Stegostoma tigrinum: one gene and its partner. The protein of the gene in region 1 interacts with the protein of each later gene in a pairwise test. Links are inferred from orthologs where the notes say so. Each region holds a gene or a part of one and is shown in the gene's direction. Other genes may lie near its edges. The genes, in order: map1aa and rho-related GTP-binding protein RhoB.

Region 1 (9,989 bases):
TAAATTCCCCTCCAAGTCACACACCATCCTGACTTGAAATTATATCCCTGTTCCTTTGCTGTTGCTGGGTCATGTCCTAGTACTCCCCTCCTAACAGCATTGCGGGTGTCCCTATAACCCAAGGACTTCAGTGAGCAGGTAGCTCACCATCTTCTCCAGGGCAATTATGAATGAAAATTCATGCTGACCTAGCAGCACCCACATCCCATGAACAAATTGTAAATGAGTAATGTGATAATAACATTTTCTTTTCATGGTGTTCCTTCAAGAGTAAATATTGGCCCAAGAAATCTCTACCTCCCTTTCTCAGCATTTGGAGGCCCTGCAACTAAGTTTTTAGCTTCTCCCCTTATTCCTGCCCCATGTTTTCCCCCCATTCCATGATGTAACTACGTTACATTGAATTAAAACTGCTGCTACTTGGATGAATTAGTATCAGTTAATCTTCTGCCAAGGTGATAGACTTCAACTTCAATAAAGCTTTCACCCAGCTGCCAGGTTAGGATAGGCAAAGTGTGCTGTTGTAGTATACAAGACTATCATGTGCTGAATCAGAAGTGTGTGTGTGCGTTCAAGTCCCACCCAAGGAATCTGAGCAGCATGGAGGGTGTGCTGCATTGTCAGAAGTGCCATTCATCAGATGAGATGTTAAACCTTTGCCATGCCTGCTTCTCTAACCATTTAGCATCTTGAGAACTGTACCCCAGCAGCAAGGGTGGGGGGATCAGGGGTGATAACGGAAAGCTGAACAAAATGTAGGCACCTGTTTCTCCTTGTGGAATCAACCCTCTGTGTTAGTTCTCTTCATAATTTAGCCTTGCTGCAGAAATAATATCTCAGTGAGTCAGTGGTCAATCTATAAACAGGTTCCCTGGGGAGATGGTGGAAGCATATTGCATTGATTGAGTGTTTCAAATGGAATTAATAAAAATTCTTTAGGCAATTATAATTTGGGTTGCAGCTATTAGTATTTGGTTGGTGCAGTAGGATCAGGAAAAGTAGGTGACTTTGGGCCAATTGTTCCTGAATCTCCCCAACATTTCTTGCCTCCTGCCTGTGTCTGTTGTAGACTTATTGATAGAGATTGATCACTGTGATTATTTCAATAACTCCCATTATCATTTGTATCAAATTACTCAGGGCAGTGGAAGAAGAATTCAATGGATCTTATAATTTTACTCCTTATCAGTTCCTAGTTATTATACCATAACTACCAATGGAGATCAACATTAGTCTGGCTAAAGATCCACTAGTTTTATTTAATCAGTGTTATTAATTACAAGCTGCTTTCTCAGAAGGTAACTGATATGAAAGCTGATGAATTTATCTTGTGACAGCTCAAGTTCCACCTCAACAACTTGAGAATGAGCCAGGCCTGTCCTCTAGTGCACTACTGTGGGAGTGTGATGCTGTTGGACATACTGACATGTGGATGACCAGAAAATCTGCTACAGTGATTTTGTTTAAATATTGAGCAAGGCATCTGAGAGAAGGCCCCTTTTCTTTGGAGTGGCCCCATCCAGATGAGTGGACAGATGTGGCTTAACATCTCTCCTGAAGGATTGTGCATCTGACAGTGCAGCACTCCCAGCTGCAGAGTGAACAAAATCCTTGAAGTTTGTTTGACAATATTTACAGCAAGAAACAGGCTACTTAACAACATATTTATGCTTGCTTATATGTTCCACACCAGGCTTTTTCCACCTTATTTTATCAACAAATCCTTTGATTCCTCGCCTTCTCTTGTTTGTCCCACTTCCCTTTAAATTTATCTATCAGCACATTCTTACCACCCTGAGTAAGGAAATTTCTGCTGAATTCCCTATCGGATTTGTTGTGACTGTGTATATTTATGACCGCCCCACCCCCCACCCCACCTTTTCTAAGAACATATTCCCTAAGTCAGCCATCTCAAACTTCTTAGGAGCCTTAAATAACCTCTAACAAATCATAGGGGCACTCAATGGATTGATCCATCTCAAAGTCATTTCGCCCTCTCCTCTTGACCTTTGTGCTGAAGGTGACATTCCCCTCGGGGAGGAGGGAAGTGGATCAGAGTGCAGTAGTGATATCAGATGCTCAGAAGTGCAGGGTATTGCAGACATATGGAGTTTATGAATGCTGTCCTTGCGTTAATGGATTGCTTAGTGAAACCTAATATTGCTATAGGCTGACCAGATGTAATTGATCCTTGATGATTCAGTTGGAATTAAGTACTAGTGTTAAGTCCTCTAACTTAAAAGATTCAAGCAATTCCCTCAATGTTTCCATCACTAAGTGCATGGCTTGGTGTAATCTTTTACTTGCCGCAGTTGATATATATTTTAATTCATTCACAGGATCTGGTTGTCACATACTGGGCTTGTATTAATTACTAATCCCTTGTTGCCCAGAGGGCAACTAAGAGTCAACTGCCTTGCTGTGGACCTGGAGTCACGGAGGCCAGACCAGCAGAATTCTTTCCCTAAAAGGCATTGATGAACCAGTTTTTTTTATAAAATGACTGTGGCAACAGGGTCACCATTAAACCATCTCTTTAATTCCAGGATTCTAGATCAAACCATGGTGGGATTTGAAACCATGCCCCCAGAAGATTAGCCTGGGCTTCTGGATTTCTAAGCCAATGACATTACTACCATGCCACAACCTCCCATTTAGTCTCTTACCATGGGTTGATCTTGTTGATGGCCATTTGCTGTTGCTGGTGGGATTGGTCTCTGTATCCATTGAATTTGTGTATTAACTGAGGTAGCTGGCAAGAGAGAATTGCATTTATCTATCACTTTCACAATCTGAGTCCCCAAAGTGTTTCACAGTCAATCAAGCACTTTTGAAGGCGTGTGTTGTAATATCAAGTGAGACTTAGCCTGTTCAAAAATGTTTAGATTGCCTCGAGGTAGCACTGCCAAGAGGGAAGGTCAGTGGTATCTAACTTGTACACAGCAAGGCCCCACAAAAAGCAATGGGATTATTAACATGGAAATCTGTTTTTAATGTTGGCTGCAGAACAAATATTGGTAAGGAACCCAGGGAGACCTCTCCTGCCCTATTCCCAAAATCACCTTCAGATCTTACACAAAGACCATAAGATGTAGTAACAGAATGGGGCCATTTGGCCCATCAAGTCTGCTCTGCCATTCAATCTTGGCTAATATCTTTATCACCCCATTACTTTTAATTCTATATTAATCACGAACATATTGATCTGTGTCTTAAATACATTCAATGATTTGGCCTTCCCAGCCTTCTGTAGCAATGAGTTCCACAGATTGAGTACCTTCTGGCTGAAGAAAGTCCCCCTCATCTCATTTCTCAAGGGATGTCCCTCAGCACCTTCACTCTGAGGCTGTGTCCTTGTGTTCTAGCCTCTCCTACTGGTGGAAATATCTTCTCCATGTCCACTCTATCCAGGCCTCATTATTCTAAAAGTTTCACATCCGCCTGAGAGAGCAGACTTTGAGATAACAAGGTGTAGAACTGGATGAACACAGCAGGCCAAGTAGCATCAGAGGAGCAGTAAGGCTGACGTTTCGGGCCTAGACCCTTCCTTAACATCTGATCTGAAAAATAGCATTTTCAACAGTGCAGCACTCCATCAGTGCCACATTGGGATGTCAGCCTCAACTTGTCTGATCACATTTTCAGAATAGGAAACATTGAAAGGGACAGTGTGTTGGTCCCCAAGAATTTTGAGATACCCACTAATCTCTGCTGTAAGTGCTGCATGATTTTACTGTGATTTCCCTCCCCAGCTGCCACTGATTCTGACTGATCACTGGGGGGATGGGAACCTTAGGGATCTGAAGGGGATGGGCCAGTGATATTGGGAGAGGAAATGTGGACAGGGAGATCCAACAAACCTTATGTTACTTGGAGATGAGAAGAAAAAAGAGGGGGAGGGGAAAGTGCTGAAAGAAACTGAATTCTCTGCAAAATTAAATATGTGTCAATGAAATAGCTACTTATGCTGAATCATAGAGAGAACCGACAGCCAATGATCTGGAATATTCTGTGCTCTTATTCCTACCACTTGCTTCAGACTTGGCTAGCACTGTACAAAATCTACTGGATTGCACTCTGTAATGCCACTGTCCAATTCCACAGCAGTCAATTTGTCATGAACACAATGTCTGGAAATCCTCAAAGACCACTTTCCAAATTTTTGTTTCCTAGAATGTTCGTAGCGAAGGGAATAAGAGGCACAATTATTACTAACCGTGAGTTGTTATCACTTCAGCCAGAACTACAGTGCATTATTAAATGCAACAGTGATTCACATTGTGTCAGCAGAAAGCTGGGGCAATGTGATCTGATTGATGATGCTTTGATTAGTGACCAGCAGACGCTGCGATTCAGTGCCAACACCAGCCAGAGCCAGATTTCAGAGTGAAGGCTAACATGAATTCCCAGCTTTATGCTGCTATTGACACGTCTTCCGTAACGGGGGGAACGGGGAGAATCTGAAATGGGTGAAGCAATGTCATGAGTGTGGGAAGGAGTTCAGATGTGGATTGAGGAATTTCATGGGGAGAAGTTGGGATGGGTGGATGAATTTTGTTGGGGTAAATTTTATACTTGCATCTGCCATAGACAATCATATATGTGGTTCTGAAAAGGCAATTGCTTTGGTTATTGGAAACTACCCTCCTAACTTCAAAGTCAACAAGCTCTCCCATTAACCTTTAAGATGCTTAACATCTTTTGCTGCTGTTCTCAAAACACTGATTTTCCCCCTCAATCTAATACATACATGAAATGAGCATTGGACAATTGCAGGGTGTTGCAATTTGTCAAAAGCAGAGGTTCTGGAAATGAATGGCTGGTTAGGTATCTTCTGAAGTAGACACAGGTTAACATCCTCAACGTGAACGATGCTCCTCTATTAATTCCGATTAAAACATAGTGTGAATCTGTGAACTCCTCTCTTGGCCATTACAATTTGCAGCATTATCTATTTCAATTTCAGCCTTTTGGTCCCTTCAGCCTCTATCGTGGGCGAGGGGTCTATGCACCATGCCTTGTAGTTTGCTGCATGAAGGAATGGACAGCGTTCAGTGGTATAAAATGATGCAGGTTTGCCACTCTATCTGATGTATCCTACACTAACTGTCTCTGCACATTGGATGTGGGACCTAATCACCTCCAAAACTTGCAATCCAACCCAGGCTTTTTGTTGTACTGACAATGTTTTATTTGCAATAGATTTTAATGCGAAGATGTAGAATAGAATGGTTGCAAAACACCATACACGCGTACACTGCACCATTTTCAGCCCAGTCTTGCACTGTCGCAGAATTTTTTTTGAAAAAAGCGTTGTGCTCTTCTCTCTCTAGTAAGTTCGCCTACCCCTTCCCTAAAATCCCACCTTTCGTCTGCTCCTGACGTTCGGGATTGGCCCCAGTTGACATCATCCGAATGTCAGTCAAGATCCCAAGCCAATCCAGCGGGGTCTCAGCTTGTTTAAGAAGGCTCTGGGAGGTGTGAGTGGATGGAGAGGGTGTAGTTGTGTTGGCGATTTGATTGGCGTGGTTGCGATGGCGACGGCGGCCGGGGAAGCGATGCTCCCCGCTGCCCCGGAGCAGCGAGCGGCGGCGGCCGAGCAGTCCCCGGATCAGGTTCAGCACCACGGACAGCGACCGCAGTCCCCAGCGCCGTGCAACCTGCACACTTACTCCGTTCTGATTGTCGTTGGAGAAATCGCCACAGATAGTCAACTGAGATCAGCAATTCTCCACGTTGAACAAGGTGAGGAGACCGCCCAAGTAATAAAATAAGAAAGGATTAAATGATTAAGATAATGCTCCAACCGGAACCTGTCTGGAACTGGGCGAACTGCATTCTATTTTGTTTCGAAGATCAAAATATTTCTATTGCCTGTAAGCTATTTCAATGCAATTTAAATGGCAGCCACTTAATCCCAGCGTGTTGCAAATAGAAAGTTTTGCTGAAATAAGATTATTTTTCACTTTTTGGTGACAGTTCAACTTCTTTTTCCCCATCACCACGATGTTGAAGGCGGTGCAGCTTCCGTCCCTTCCTCTTTTTCAGCCGCCTGTTCCTCCTTCCAGCATTGTCTTTGAGCGACATTTTCTGGAGAAATGTTGCGGAGGTTTGCTAACTCTCTTGAAATCACTGAAGCGTTTCAAAGTATGAAGGTACCCCCGCTATTTTTAATCAACATGTATTATGATACAACTGAACATCTCTGGAGTAGATGGGACTTGAACCCGGAGTTTCTGGCCACCCAGGTAGCGACCCTACCACTGCACCACAAGAACCGTAACTCCAGTCCTGCTACACGTGGCTTTAGGATTTGAATATTGTGCACGCTAAATCACAACATATCTCACCATTTACCATAAGGTTCCTGGATGTGTTGGTCACCAGAACCTTCTAACAGCTGTTTCCTAATTAATAAAAAAAACTTATTTCAACTGAGATAGTGATAGATCTGAAGAAGGGTCTAGACCGGAAACGTCAGCTTCCCTGCTCCTCCGCTGCTGCCTGGCCTGCTGTGTTCATCCTGTTCTCAAACTTGTTTATAATCTTATTTCAACTGCTTTCCCTCTGGGCCTTGGTCGCTGACTTTTGCAAGTTGGGGAAGGAGTCAGAATATGTGCAGCACTATTTTCAAGGGTCCCAGGGTGTATGTTGCTATTTGCTGCAATATGTTGGTATTTCAAGAGGTCCCAGAGAATACCTCTGTATTCACGTGGGAGTCTGTCAGTATTGGCAGGCTCTCCCGGGAGCAGGTTAATACGTGCAGGGCCCACATGGGGCTGTGTTAATATTCTGGGATTTGAAGAGAGAGACATAACCCATGTTCCAAATCCTAGGGATAAAATTTCCCCTATGCTTCATCACACATAATTTGACATGGTGTCATTTAAGGACATATTAGGGAGGTGCCCTAAAGCTCAATTAAAGAGGTATATCTTAAATGAGCATAAAAGTAGGGAGTCTCCGGGATTAACAAGCAAGAATAGGCTGTTCAGCCCTCCAAGCTTGCAAGAGGCCAGAACTAGAGGATCCTGGGTTATAGAGCTGGAGGGAATTATTGAGAAAGGGACCAGAAAAGGCTCAAAAATTGAGTCAGTGCAGGTCGGTAAGCACAAGGCTGCTGGTTTAACAAGACTTGTTGGCAGATGTCTGAGCAATGCCACAGAGGTAGAAATGAGCATGGTGATGGATAGGATATTGAGTCAGATGATTAGCTCAGAGTTAATTAGGATGTCAGTGACCCCTCTAAGCTGCATGGAATTGCAGCTCATGCAGCAACCTGTTGTATGCTGTGCAGAGCACAAGCACCTTCTCCATAATGGAAGAAATCATACAAGGTAACAATCCATTCACATGTGAAAATTTAAGTGCATGTAGATGCCAAGGTAATGAACAATCTGACCCAGCCTCTATAAGAGGGCTTAAGGAAGGAATATGTCAGTGTTGATAGAAACTGCGTTTCTTGGCATTCAGGGCTGTGAATTCTTTGTGGTGTCATCAGGACAACCCTTGTACACCAGACCTGCCAACTGCAGCCAAGGTGGGGAGAAGGAGGAGTCTATTCAGCCCCTTTAAATCTGTTCTATCAGAGTGGGAGAATTCCAGAGTTTGGGGCCCAGCAAACTGTGCAAGCTGCACTTTAATACCACTGGCACAAGCCTGATATGAAAATACTGAGTTCTCTCATTCCCTTATCCATTGCAGGAGGGGCACAATCTCTTGAACATATCTGCAGCTCCATCTGTCAGTCTGAGTCAGTAATTGTGTTGTGGGAGATCTGTAACAAAACATTGAATAACTTGTCTCAACTGCACTTCCAAAAAATACAGTTTTATCTGTGTTGGGCTTATCAGAGAACACTGACCAGTTAAAGAACAATGTTGAGCAGAAGACAAGAGCTACATTGTGACTGGCTCACAGAGCTTTCTGCAGCATTTGTGTGAGGATAAACATCAAGGCATCTTAAAAATCCAGTGTGAAACACTGAAAGTCAAAGATCGAGATGATATGGGGTTACAATCATCTTGTCTTCAATCAACCAACATGGCATTTCACCCACGGAATTTGCAACATTCCCCATAAGAATCCAGGCTTTTTTTAAAAAAAATTCACAAAATGAGGACATCACTTGCTGGGCCAACATTTATTGCCCATCCCTAGTTTTCTAGAGGGCAGTTAAAAGTCAACCACAGATATAAATCTGGAGTTACATGTTGGCCAGATCAGATGAGGACAACAGTTTCCTTCCCTAAAGGTCATTAGCAAACCAGATGGGTTTTTCATACAATTGACAATGGAGTCCTGTTCATTAGACTCTTAATTCCAGATTTTAAAAAATATATTGAATTGAACTCCCACCATCTGCTGTGGCAAGATTTGAACCCAGATTTCCCCAAACCATTGCTTGGTTCCCTGGAGTAGTTCAGTGATAACACAACGAGGCCAATAACTCCCCACTTGGGCCAGTTGGTCTGCACCATCCCTGACTTGGTTTTGTCAGTGTTTGCTACTTGGCAGGCCAGGCTGCTTCCTGCTGCATTGTCCAAACCCAGTCAGGAAAGTGGGGTTTGCTGACTCCTGAAACTGATGTACACTCAGTGCCACCCCACCACACGTTCGGGGGTTGCTGCCAGTGATTAATCCTTACTTCCAAAAAGAACAGTGGCGTTCTGACAGAGACACCCTTTTTCCAACATTTAATATTTGTGGCTATTACTAAAGAAAAGAGAAGAATGCATTTATGTAGTGCCTTCCTCAATGCGTCAAATTCACCTGAGTAGTAAAGTCCTTTTGAGGTGCAGTCCCTGTCGTAACGTAGGAAATTTGGCTGCCAACATGTGCGAACAATGATATGATAACAACCAGATCATCAGTTTGAATGACGTTTGGTTAAGGATGAGTATTAGTTGATGTATTATGGTGAGCTCCTGTTTGTCCTCAAACCATGACCATGGTATCTTTGACATCCCCATGAGACATCAAATGGGGGCCTAAAAAATTAACATCTCATCTGAGAGGCAGCACCAGGAAAATCAGAGAATGCTGGAGAAACTCAGCAGGTGTGGTTGTGTCTGTGGAGAGAAATAGTTAATGTTTCAAGTCCAGGATGACCTTTCTACAGAACTGGACTGAAATGGTAACTTTTTTTCTCTCCACAGATGCTGTCAGACTTGTTGGGTTTCTCCAACATTCCCTGTTTTTACTTCATTTTAGATTTCCAGCATCTGCAGTGTTTTTCTTTTATACCAGGTGAATCAGCCTGCATGAACTGAAGAAAGTCTCTGGGGTTGGATTTGAACTGACGTTTTAAAGTCTGATTCATATGAGTAACAACGGCTGATTATTGGAGGCAGCAGCCTTATTGCATTAGTTCAAAACTTACCTAACCACCATTTTTCCTCTTATTCAGAATTATTTTTGTAACCTTCTTTAAGGGACATTGGTCCCTCACTGAAATTTCTATCAATAATTTAAAAATTCAGTGCAGCCCCGTGAGGTGCATTTTGTGTGCATTGAATTGTGCACCAGTTTAGTTCTATATTGCAACTGTGATCTTTGTGTCTGGAACTATTAGGGAGGAACTAGTAATGAGTAGCACTATTAAGACATTGAGCCATGATTTGTCCCTCTTGGAATGGACAATAACCCTGTGACATTTAGCTAAACAGACCAGGCAGGCTCAATCCTCAGTGCACATTGAGTCAGCCAAGGCACTTGACTCTTAGTCAGAGGTTCCCACTCCAGAGGCTTGAGCAAAAGATCAAAGTTAACAGAAAGGTAGTACCGAGGGAATGCCATCTTCCAGCTGAGATGTTGCCTTCTCAATTGTGACATAGATAATTCATTGCTCTAGTTCAACGTAGGGTACAAGAATTCTCCCTGATGTCACCTCCCAGATGGACAATGTTCACAATGAATCTGACTGTCCCGTACAGCACAAACACTTCACATGAACAAGTGTTATGTAGAATGAATGGCGTAAAAATAGA
Region 2 (9,227 bases), on another chromosome or scaffold:
AGTTCTCCAGTCTGTATGACCCCACCTGAATTCCCTGCTCCTTGTAAGTGCAACATTATTTTTGTTGTATCCAGTGCCTTTTCCTTAGCAAACCACCCCCTGTGAAAAATATATACTGGGGAGACAACTATTCACTGAGAGCTGAAAGACACCTACAGCTTTCACCACTGCTAAGTATAGCAGTCAACAATTAAAGAACTGTGGCCTCAGGTTAAAAATCTAACATGTCATCATTTTTATTCCTGTCTCTACCAGTTAGCCTTTAAAAGAACTTATTACCTGAGTTTGCGTGTGTGATTGGTGTCATTTTTGGGGAGAAAGGATTAGTCAGCAAAAGAAAACTTTCTTTTCACTCAAGAAAGCCTTTATTTTGATCTACTAAATACATCTTTAATTAGTGTCAAATAGCTGCCTGATCAAAGAAATAAAAAATATGGGTTGCAATCAATCAAGCGGGGATTAAAAAGGGAGGAGCTGAGTTACCATTCTTCAGCTGGTCACAACAGGCTTGCATAACAAACTTGAGCAAATGAGTCTCACAACACTTCTGCTTCACACTAGCTACAGTGTGCAATGACACAAAGGGAAATTTAATACTGTAGTAAGTTCCAAGACAGCACACACATGTCAGTGTATCAGTTAACTCCAACATATGTTACAATAATTGCCACAACGTGCAAATTATGCATAGAGTCAGTGGGTCATCTTTGCCCATTGTTAGATGCAAGTGACACACATATTTTGTGCTTCCCTACTTGTAAAAATTTGCTTCCTTTTATCACTTCTTGCATTTTTTGGCACGTTGTTTCCATTATGAATCTTCTTTCTTCAGTTCTGTTCAAAAGTAGATCTGATTCACCACGTTATGATCATGTATTAAGCAAGAAAGCAGGTCCCGAATTCACCCAAGCCAGAACAAAGATCAAACCTAATGCCAGCAATATCAATCTGATTTGGACCTACTGTCCAACCAACTGAACCAACCAATCTCACAAGGGCTCTGAATTGCTGTAGCAACACATATTGTGACACACTGTGGTCCAGGCTGGTAGAGGTTCCAAATCTCTTCCCAGCACATGAGCGACCAGGAATCTGACCTATTCTTACCATCTACCATTTGTGTATGTTGCAAGGATTCACCATGCTATGTATACAACTTCCTTGGCTATCAAGTCCTGGAGTTGGACTTGAACATGAAGCTTCTGGATCAGAGGCAGGATTGCAACTGCTTCACTACAAGATTTATTATGAATTCACAAATTCTTATTTACAATTTCATAGACTTTGGAGAATCAGGGTTCTGATTAAAAATTTTCTGAAGATCTTATTAGTTGCCAGTTTTTTCTAAGCAACAAAATTAATAGCCTAAAATATTCAAAATTAGAAAAGAAATTGACATTTTCAGAATAATTGCAATTGTCTATTGAATTATCCTTTATTGCCTTCATTAAACTTTTCAACTGTCTCTTCAATAGTCTCTCCAAAAGCTTTGGCTTGCACTGCAAAAGCAGTGATTTCGTGAGCTGAATTTAAATTGAAAATACTATCTTAGGATTCATGTGCACCCTTCCGCAAGTTGTGCTGATAGAATATTTTTTCTTGAGGGTCTAATACTTTGCAGCCTTCCTTTGATGTTATTTTGAAAAAAAAGGATACTTCTCAAGATTTTATTGAGATAAAATTAAACCAAATGTGTTTTAACTAGAAAGCTTGTGAAAAACTGCATGTAAGAAACATTTTGACCATGCATTGAATAAACATCCGTTGTAGTTTAGATTGGATGATCATGGTGAGAGAAAAGGTGAGGTCATTCTGTTGCATTCTATGCATCTTGTACTAAGCAGTTTTTCAATTAGCAGATGAACATAAATGGTTTTGAATAGGCATATCTTGTTCTTTCCGGTGACTTTAATTGTTTAACATGTTCAAATGTGAATGGTACACTTCCTTTCACCTTAGAGCAATAGTTATGTTTGCTCATTTGCTCATGTTTACAGACATAACCCTCAAACAATGCACTGCTAAATATGCTGCATCTTCAGGCTCAGAGGTTTGGCAAGAGTTGGTGCAGAAAGAAGCAGGGAAAATTTATAACACTTTCTCTTCACTCTGATATACAAGCAATGGTGGTACATTTTCATCTGATTGTTACCATCGTGTGCTGTGTTTCTCAACAAAGTAAGATTTGCCAAATGTTCTTGTACTGATATTGTTTGGAATTATCTGAATGAACTGCTGAAAAGTACTAACAAGTCTCTGGATCTGAAATGTAAAGTATTTTAAGTTTGATCCTAAAAGTTTAGAGATTTATTTTCATTTTACGGCATTTCAACTTTAATTATTTGAAACAAAGCAAAATGTGACCAACAAAATAGTCTATGACTACGTCAAACAAATGATGAGTCATTCAAAATCAACAGAGACTGACTTTTTCAAATTATTTCACATTGGTATTCCTTGGAGGCAGTCGAGAGGGGAAAATTCCAATGTATTCTCAAAGCAGATGTACTCAGACTTCACAACCGATAAATCATAGTTGAATATTTAACTAACTGAATTTGTCTCTTGTCTCTACTTAGAAATCCTAGCTCCAGCTTCAGGTTTATTGATATCCTAACTATACAACAACAGTTTGCAGTTGATAACTTTCACTATTCACAGTTAGTCCTTGGGAGGTGATGTCTATGGAAACCCCAGACTAAGTGAGAGTGGGGAATCATAATCTACAGTGAATACTTTTACAATGAAAATAAATAAAAACAAACGAATAAATACATTTAATTAAATTCCAGACTAATTACGCATGCAATGATGGAGTTTCATTCAATTCTCTGACTAAAATGTTAGCCACTGCACACATTGCATTGAGAATGCTCCATTCAGGGTAAATAATTATCATGCGAGACATGGAGCTGAAATAAAGTGGGAAATCGAGTCTGCATTTCTAACCATCCCATCTAAGCACAGTTGATAATAAACACTCTCCATTGCTATTTTAAAATCTGTTTAGCCATTGACTGTGTTTCACCAAGGTGTAAGCAGCTTGAAATAATTTCGGTTTATGTTCATGGGCTGTAGCAGTTTGTGGAAAGTAACTGGTGTCGTTCATTGTGAAGTGATGCTACCCCAGTCCAACTCAAACATAACATAAACTTGAGTTCCATAACACTGACATCTTGAGCATGCTTTACATGCACATGACTTACTATCATTTACACAATGCAGGGATGAAACAAAAACATCTGGCATTGCAAAAATCATTTTTTTTCTGAATAAACTAAACAAAGAACTCCAGATGCTGAAGGTCTCAAACAGAAACAGAAATTGCTGGAGAAACTCAGCCGGTCTGGCATAAGAAAACTGAATTAATGATTTGAGTCCAGTGATCCACCAACAAAACTGTTAGCGGACAACAGGAAAGTGGTATTTATGCTAAAGTTAATGTTGAGGGAGGGGGTGGGGAAGGGGAAAGGTGAACAGCTAGGTGCAGGTGGAGCCCAGAATGAGAAAAATATGAAAGGGGGTAGATAAACAAGGAGATTACGGAAATCAGGCCAGGATAGAAGAACAGCTGAATAAGTGACAATAAGGGCTTAGTGTAGGAGAGAATTGGTATAATGTACTGAATGCAATGCATAGAATGTGATATTGAGCCCAGGAGTACATGAGAATGGGTGACTGTGCTAAAAGCAATGTCTATCATAACCAGATTCAGTGTGAAGTTTGGTTAAAAAAAATACATGGAAGGATGGAATCAGGTTCTGAAGCTAATGAACTCCATGCTGAGTCCTACAGGCTGCAGAATTTCCAAGTGGAAAATGAGGTGTTGTTCTTTGAGCATGGGTTGAGTTTCACTGGAGCACTGCAGCAACCCGAGACAGAGATGTTGGCCAGGGAACACAGTGGTGCATTGAAGTGACAGGAAACGGGAAGCTCAGAGTCATTTTTGCAGACAAAATGTAGGTGTTCCGTGAAGCACTCGCACTGTCAGTGTTTCTTCTCCCCGATGTAGATAAGACCACATTGTGAGCAGCCAATACAGTAGACTAGATTGAGTGAGGTGCAGGTAACTGCTGCTTCTGAAAACACATCAGCTCTGATGAAAACTAGACTCAGAACGTTAGTTTGCTCTCCCCACGGATGCTGTCTGACCCAGAGACAATAGGAACTGCAGATGCTGGAGAATCTGAGATAACAAGTTGTAGAGCTGGATGGGCGCGGCAGGCCAGGCAGCATCAGAGGAGCAGGAAAGCTGATGTTTCGGGCCTAGACCCTTCAGAATTTATTTTCTGAAGGGTCTAGGCCCGAAACGTCACTTGCTGCTCCTCGCTGTGTTCATCCACCTTTATACCTTGTTATCTGCTGTCTGACCCCGCTGCGACTTCCAGCATTTTATGTTTTCATACAGATTCCAGCATCTGCAGTAAATTCACTACTTCGGCTGGACCAAAACCAGCCCAGTTTGTCTCCTTCCACTACCGCACCACACAACCAGCCCAGCTCTTCTCCTCCACCCACTGCATCCCAAAACCAGTCCAGCCTGTCTCTGCCTCCCTAACCTGTTCTTCCTCTCACCTATCCTTCCTCCCACCCCAAGCCGCACCTCCATCTCCTACCTACTAACCTCATCCCACCTCCTTGACCTGTCCGTCTTCCCTGGGCTGACCTATCCCCTCCCAACCTCCCCACCTATACTCTCTCCACCTATCTTCTTTTCTCTCCATCTTCGGTCTGCCTCCCCCTCTCTCCCTATTTATTCCAGAACCCTCTCCCCATCCCCCTCTCTGATGAAGGGTCTAGGCCCGAAACGTCAGCTTTTGTGCTCCTGAGATGCTGCTGGGCCTGCTGTGTTCATCCAGCCTCATTTTATTATATTGGATTCTCCAGCATCTGCAGTTCCCATTATCACTTCGGCTGGAACGTGTGTTTGGGGCATTGGATGCTTTAAACTTCTTTGATGTAAAATGATATTGCTTCAAACGGTTTCTCCGCTGAGGAGAGATGAGTGGGAGTTTTTTTTCAATCGGCCACCCCCTCTTTGACTGCTCTCTCCTGCTGTCTGGGAGCACCTCCCCAACAGCCCGACTCCAATCAGTGAGCTCTTGCAGTCGATGAGCTCAGAGAGGAGCTTCCCATTGGATTGCTATATTTAGGAGGCAGCGCTACCCCTTTATAAAGGCAGCGCCGAAGCTGCAGCCCGGATCACACTGTATGAGTCAGTCGGTTGGTAGAGAGAGGGGGGGTCAATTGCACTCTAAAGCTCAGCGTTGCACCGATAGCTGCTGTTTGTGAAGCGGGTAGATACAGAGAGAAGTGGGGAGTATGGCTGCTATTCGGAAGAAGCTGGTGGTGGTGGGAGATGGAGCCTGCGGGAAGACCTGTCTCCTGATTGTCTTCAGCAAAGACGAGTTCCCCGAGGTCTATGTGCCGACTGTGTTTGAGAACTACGTGGCGGACATCGAGGTGGACGGGAAGCAGGTGGAGTTGGCTCTGTGGGACACGGCAGGCCAGGAGGACTACGACCGTCTGAGACCCCTCTCTTACCCGGACACCGATGTCATTCTGATGTGCTTCTCGGTGGACAGCCCGGACTCGCTGGAGAACATCCCCGAGAAGTGGGTGCCCGAAGTCAAACACTTCTGCCCCAACGTGCCCATCATTCTTGTGGCTAACAAGAAGGACCTGAGGAACGATGAGAACGTCAGGAACGAGCTGGCTCGAATGAAGCAGGAGCCGGTGAAGACCGAGGACGGCCGAGCCATGGCTGTCCGTATCGGAGCCTATGACTACCTGGAGTGTTCGGCTAAGACCAAGGAGGGGGTCCGGGAGGTGTTCGAGACGGCTACCCGGGCAGCCCTTCAGAAGAGAGCCCGACCCAGCACAGGCTGTACTAACTGCTGTTCCGTCTTATGATGCTGTTTACTACCGACTGACGCTCTCTGGGAAACCGAACTCTCATATTTATCACACTCTCTCTTCCCCCGTTTTGGACAGACTTCAATCGAGCGGGGGATGAGTCAACTGGGGAGTGAGGAGGGTTTTTTCTGGGGGGGGTGGAATGGGATGGGACAAGGTTCTCTCTCCTGAAGAGTCGATGGATCCACTGACTGGGGGGTGGGGTGGGGTTCGTTAAGCTCTTAACATCACATCACGTTGATTTTCGGCCAAGACTGGACCAGCGAACCCTTTTCCTGAGACTGTGTGCTGTGATGGGGCAGACTGGGACTGGAAATATGTCGTTGTTTGTGTGGTTTTTAATCTGTAAATTATCTGAGCATTTTTCACTCGCGAGAAAAGATTAGGACTCTTTGTCTTTAATGCCTCCTTGGTTCTATCTGGTAGACGGGAGGCAACAGAATGAGATCAAGCTTTGTCAAGGGGTTGGGGTGGATGGGGGTAGGGTACAGTCTCTATTCCTGGCTTCACTGTTTTTGGGGGTGGGGGCGCGGGAATGGTGTTAGATCGCACTGAGACTTGCTACAAGAACACGAGCCACTTCCTGCTCGGACACATTGCTGGACACTTCCTTCTCCCCCCCCCCCCCTCTCCCCCGCCCCCGAGTTGTTTTTTGGGGGTGGTGGCCGCGTATTGGTCTCCCTTACCATGTCCCTCTATCCAAGAATGACTGCTCTCAATGCCAAACCGTTCGAATTACTTTCTTATTTTGTAAAGTAAATACTGCTCTGGCATCTCACCCAAAAAAGTTTTGGGACATTTTAAAAAAAAAAATTGTTGAAGAATGAGAAGATGCATTTTCTGTGCTGACAGTGTTTCTTTCTAGAAGGGAAATGACAGCCCTTTTTAAAGAGGCTGAAAAGTGCATTTAATATTTTTGATACGTTTCCCAAGTGGGTACTGAGGTTGATCATTGTCTCAGTTTCAAAAAAAGACTAACGAAAAATGGCGAAGCTTGCAAGACGACGCGTTTGTTTACAGAATCCTATACTGAATTGTAAGCTGTGTACATCCATTTTCACGAAGGGAAATTATTAAATATAATCGGACCCCGTTCTTTTTGTATCTGGTTTGTAGTTATTTTGAATTTGCTGACGGGCAGAATGAGGTTTTTGTTTCAAACTTTACACCGGGTGTCTGCGCACTGTTCCTACACTTGTAACGAAGGGACCTTCACCTTTTGTTTTGCTGCCGTGAACAGACTGGGTGCGGGCAAAGTGCCTGTTTTTTTAAATCCCGAGCTCAAAATTGTAAGCGACCTACTGTTTTCTTTAAGCGGAGTCGGTCTTTGAAGAAATGGGTGCGGTCAGTTTTCTGCAGAGCCGATGCGCTCGGAGGTCTTTAAAAGAAGCCGCCTTACACACTCGACATGGCTTACTTGGAGTTTAGTGCCTTTTTATTTTCGGTGAATGTGTTCACTTGTGCGTTTAAAAATGAAGCATCACTTCCTCTGAATGCAAGCTTAACGATATTTTTACTGACTAAAATAATTGGCCTCGAGAAAACTGCTTTCATTGTAAACATTAAGCTCATGAGCAGTTAGATGGCATGCTGCGAAATGAACCAAGACTGTTGGGCGTAAAGCAAACAATTATCACCCGTTCTGTGTTGTTGAACAGTACAGATAACTGTTGTGGAGTACGGACTGCATTCAACTACTGATGCCCCTTCGTGACGACAGCGTCCCACCAGCCATGGGAGATGACTTTTATAGTAACTTGACCAAACTGTCATGGCAGGGGCTGTTAAATGGCTTGCTATTAAGTGTGGGTGATTGCCCCGTTCTTCCTCCCCACCCCATCAACTTTCCCCTGGTCTTCAATAGCTTTGGCTAAAATAGCCAGATAGAATTTAGCTGAAGTGCTACAACTGACTGGGACCACTACAGAAATTTTCTTACAGAATGCAAATAATTGTGCATCACTGTACAGTCATTTTTTTTTCAGTATGAATGGTTTTGAGTAACCTCTTTCAATGAGGGAAATGTTGCATTACCACTAACACTTTTTTCTTGGCTATATTTTCGATAGATTTCACTAATGTTCAGGCTATATGAAAATTGGGATGTTGGTAGATGCAATTTCACACTCTAAATTGCAGTTAGAAAATGATCTTGCCGAACATGCTGAGTTTTTCAGTAGTTTATTTTTGAAACCTTGTACTTTCCTCCTTTCAATTTTTTAAACTGCCTTCAATATTGCACATTAGTCTGTTTTGTTTTTCCTGGTGCTGCTGTCTTTTGATTCTTTAATTGTTCTGTTTAGTGACTTTTGGGGTGGGGGGGGGAAGTACCAACAGAATGATCTGTTTTGGTAAAGCAAGCACTAGAATTTTGCAACACTGAAAATGCTCAATAGGCAGCAAACCTGTCTGCCTTTGAAATCAATGTTTTCAATTCTTGTGTTACACTGGTGATTCAGGCCCACAGGGTGAAATCTAAGAACTGAAATCCTCCAATGCAAATCAACTTATGCGCCTATACACAAACCATGCTTGTGGCCCTGCTGCATAGTTAACTGTTTGAATCACTTGTGTGATTACAGTAATGATTAAGGTAATTACACTTAGATCATGCTTTATGTATTTTTTAAACTGCAAGATAGTTTGTCATTCCTGCATGGGTGGGGAAATGGTTGCTTTGATTACAGCCAATCATTGGTCACTTGGATAGCAGAAGCCCCCAAACAAATGCTGGTACTTGTATGGCAGCTATTGTGGATGATTGAATTCACCTATTTGTTTGGTCTTGTGACTGACTTGCTGAATAAAAGCCAGAAGGGGCAACAAATCTAAATCTGCAGGCACTTGTGAACATAGCTGGCAAAAGAACAGATTGTCTGTCTGCTTGCCTACCTGATTTCAACTGTGGTTTAAGGGGAAGTTGCAGTTCAATTTTTCACTTTTCCATTTGGGAGTGATCTAATTTCTAGAATGCCCTCTTCCCTTGTGCAGAATGGGGAGACTTGATGCTCCCAGATATTTAATACAACATGATTTGACTATGCCAATAATAAGGCTTTTCAGGACATGAGCAGTTGAGTTTGTCTTTCAGTTTAGAACATTGGTCTAAGGTTCTGTTCAGAGTCCATGCTTAGAATTTGGGCTTCTCTTTCGTGGACTATAATGGGTCCAGTGTGTGTATCCTCACTCCATGTTATAATATTTGGTACCACATTTTGTTCAGGACATGCAAAGAAATAATACTATTTAAAAATTGAAGTGTAGCTCTGTTGAAGGCTATCTGCTTTTAGATAGTCTAATATCAAAACCAA

What was found.
Region 2: the proteins of map1aa (region 1) and rho-related GTP-binding protein RhoB interact in a two-hybrid assay, tested with the Homo sapiens proteins (2 studies listed by BioGRID and IntAct). The link is inferred for Stegostoma tigrinum from reciprocal best matches to the Homo sapiens genes MAP1A and RHOB.

What each region holds. Positions count from the first base shown.
Region 1 is NC_081389.1:21,678,350-21,688,338, forward strand, and holds the start of map1aa (microtubule-associated protein 1A), read left to right. Parts: upstream 1-5,484; 5' UTR 5,485-5,534; coding exon 5,535-5,745; intron 5,746-9,989. UniProt on the Homo sapiens protein: Structural protein involved in the filamentous cross-bridging between microtubules and other skeletal elements.
Region 2 is NC_081357.1:125,690,419-125,699,645, reverse strand, and holds rho-related GTP-binding protein RhoB, read left to right. Parts: upstream 1-5,181; 5' UTR 5,182-5,322; coding exon 5,323-5,913; 3' UTR 5,914-7,011; downstream 7,012-9,227. UniProt on the Homo sapiens protein: Mediates apoptosis in neoplastically transformed cells after DNA damage. Not essential for development but affects cell adhesion and growth factor signaling in transformed cells. Plays a negative role in tumorigenesis as deletion causes tumor formation.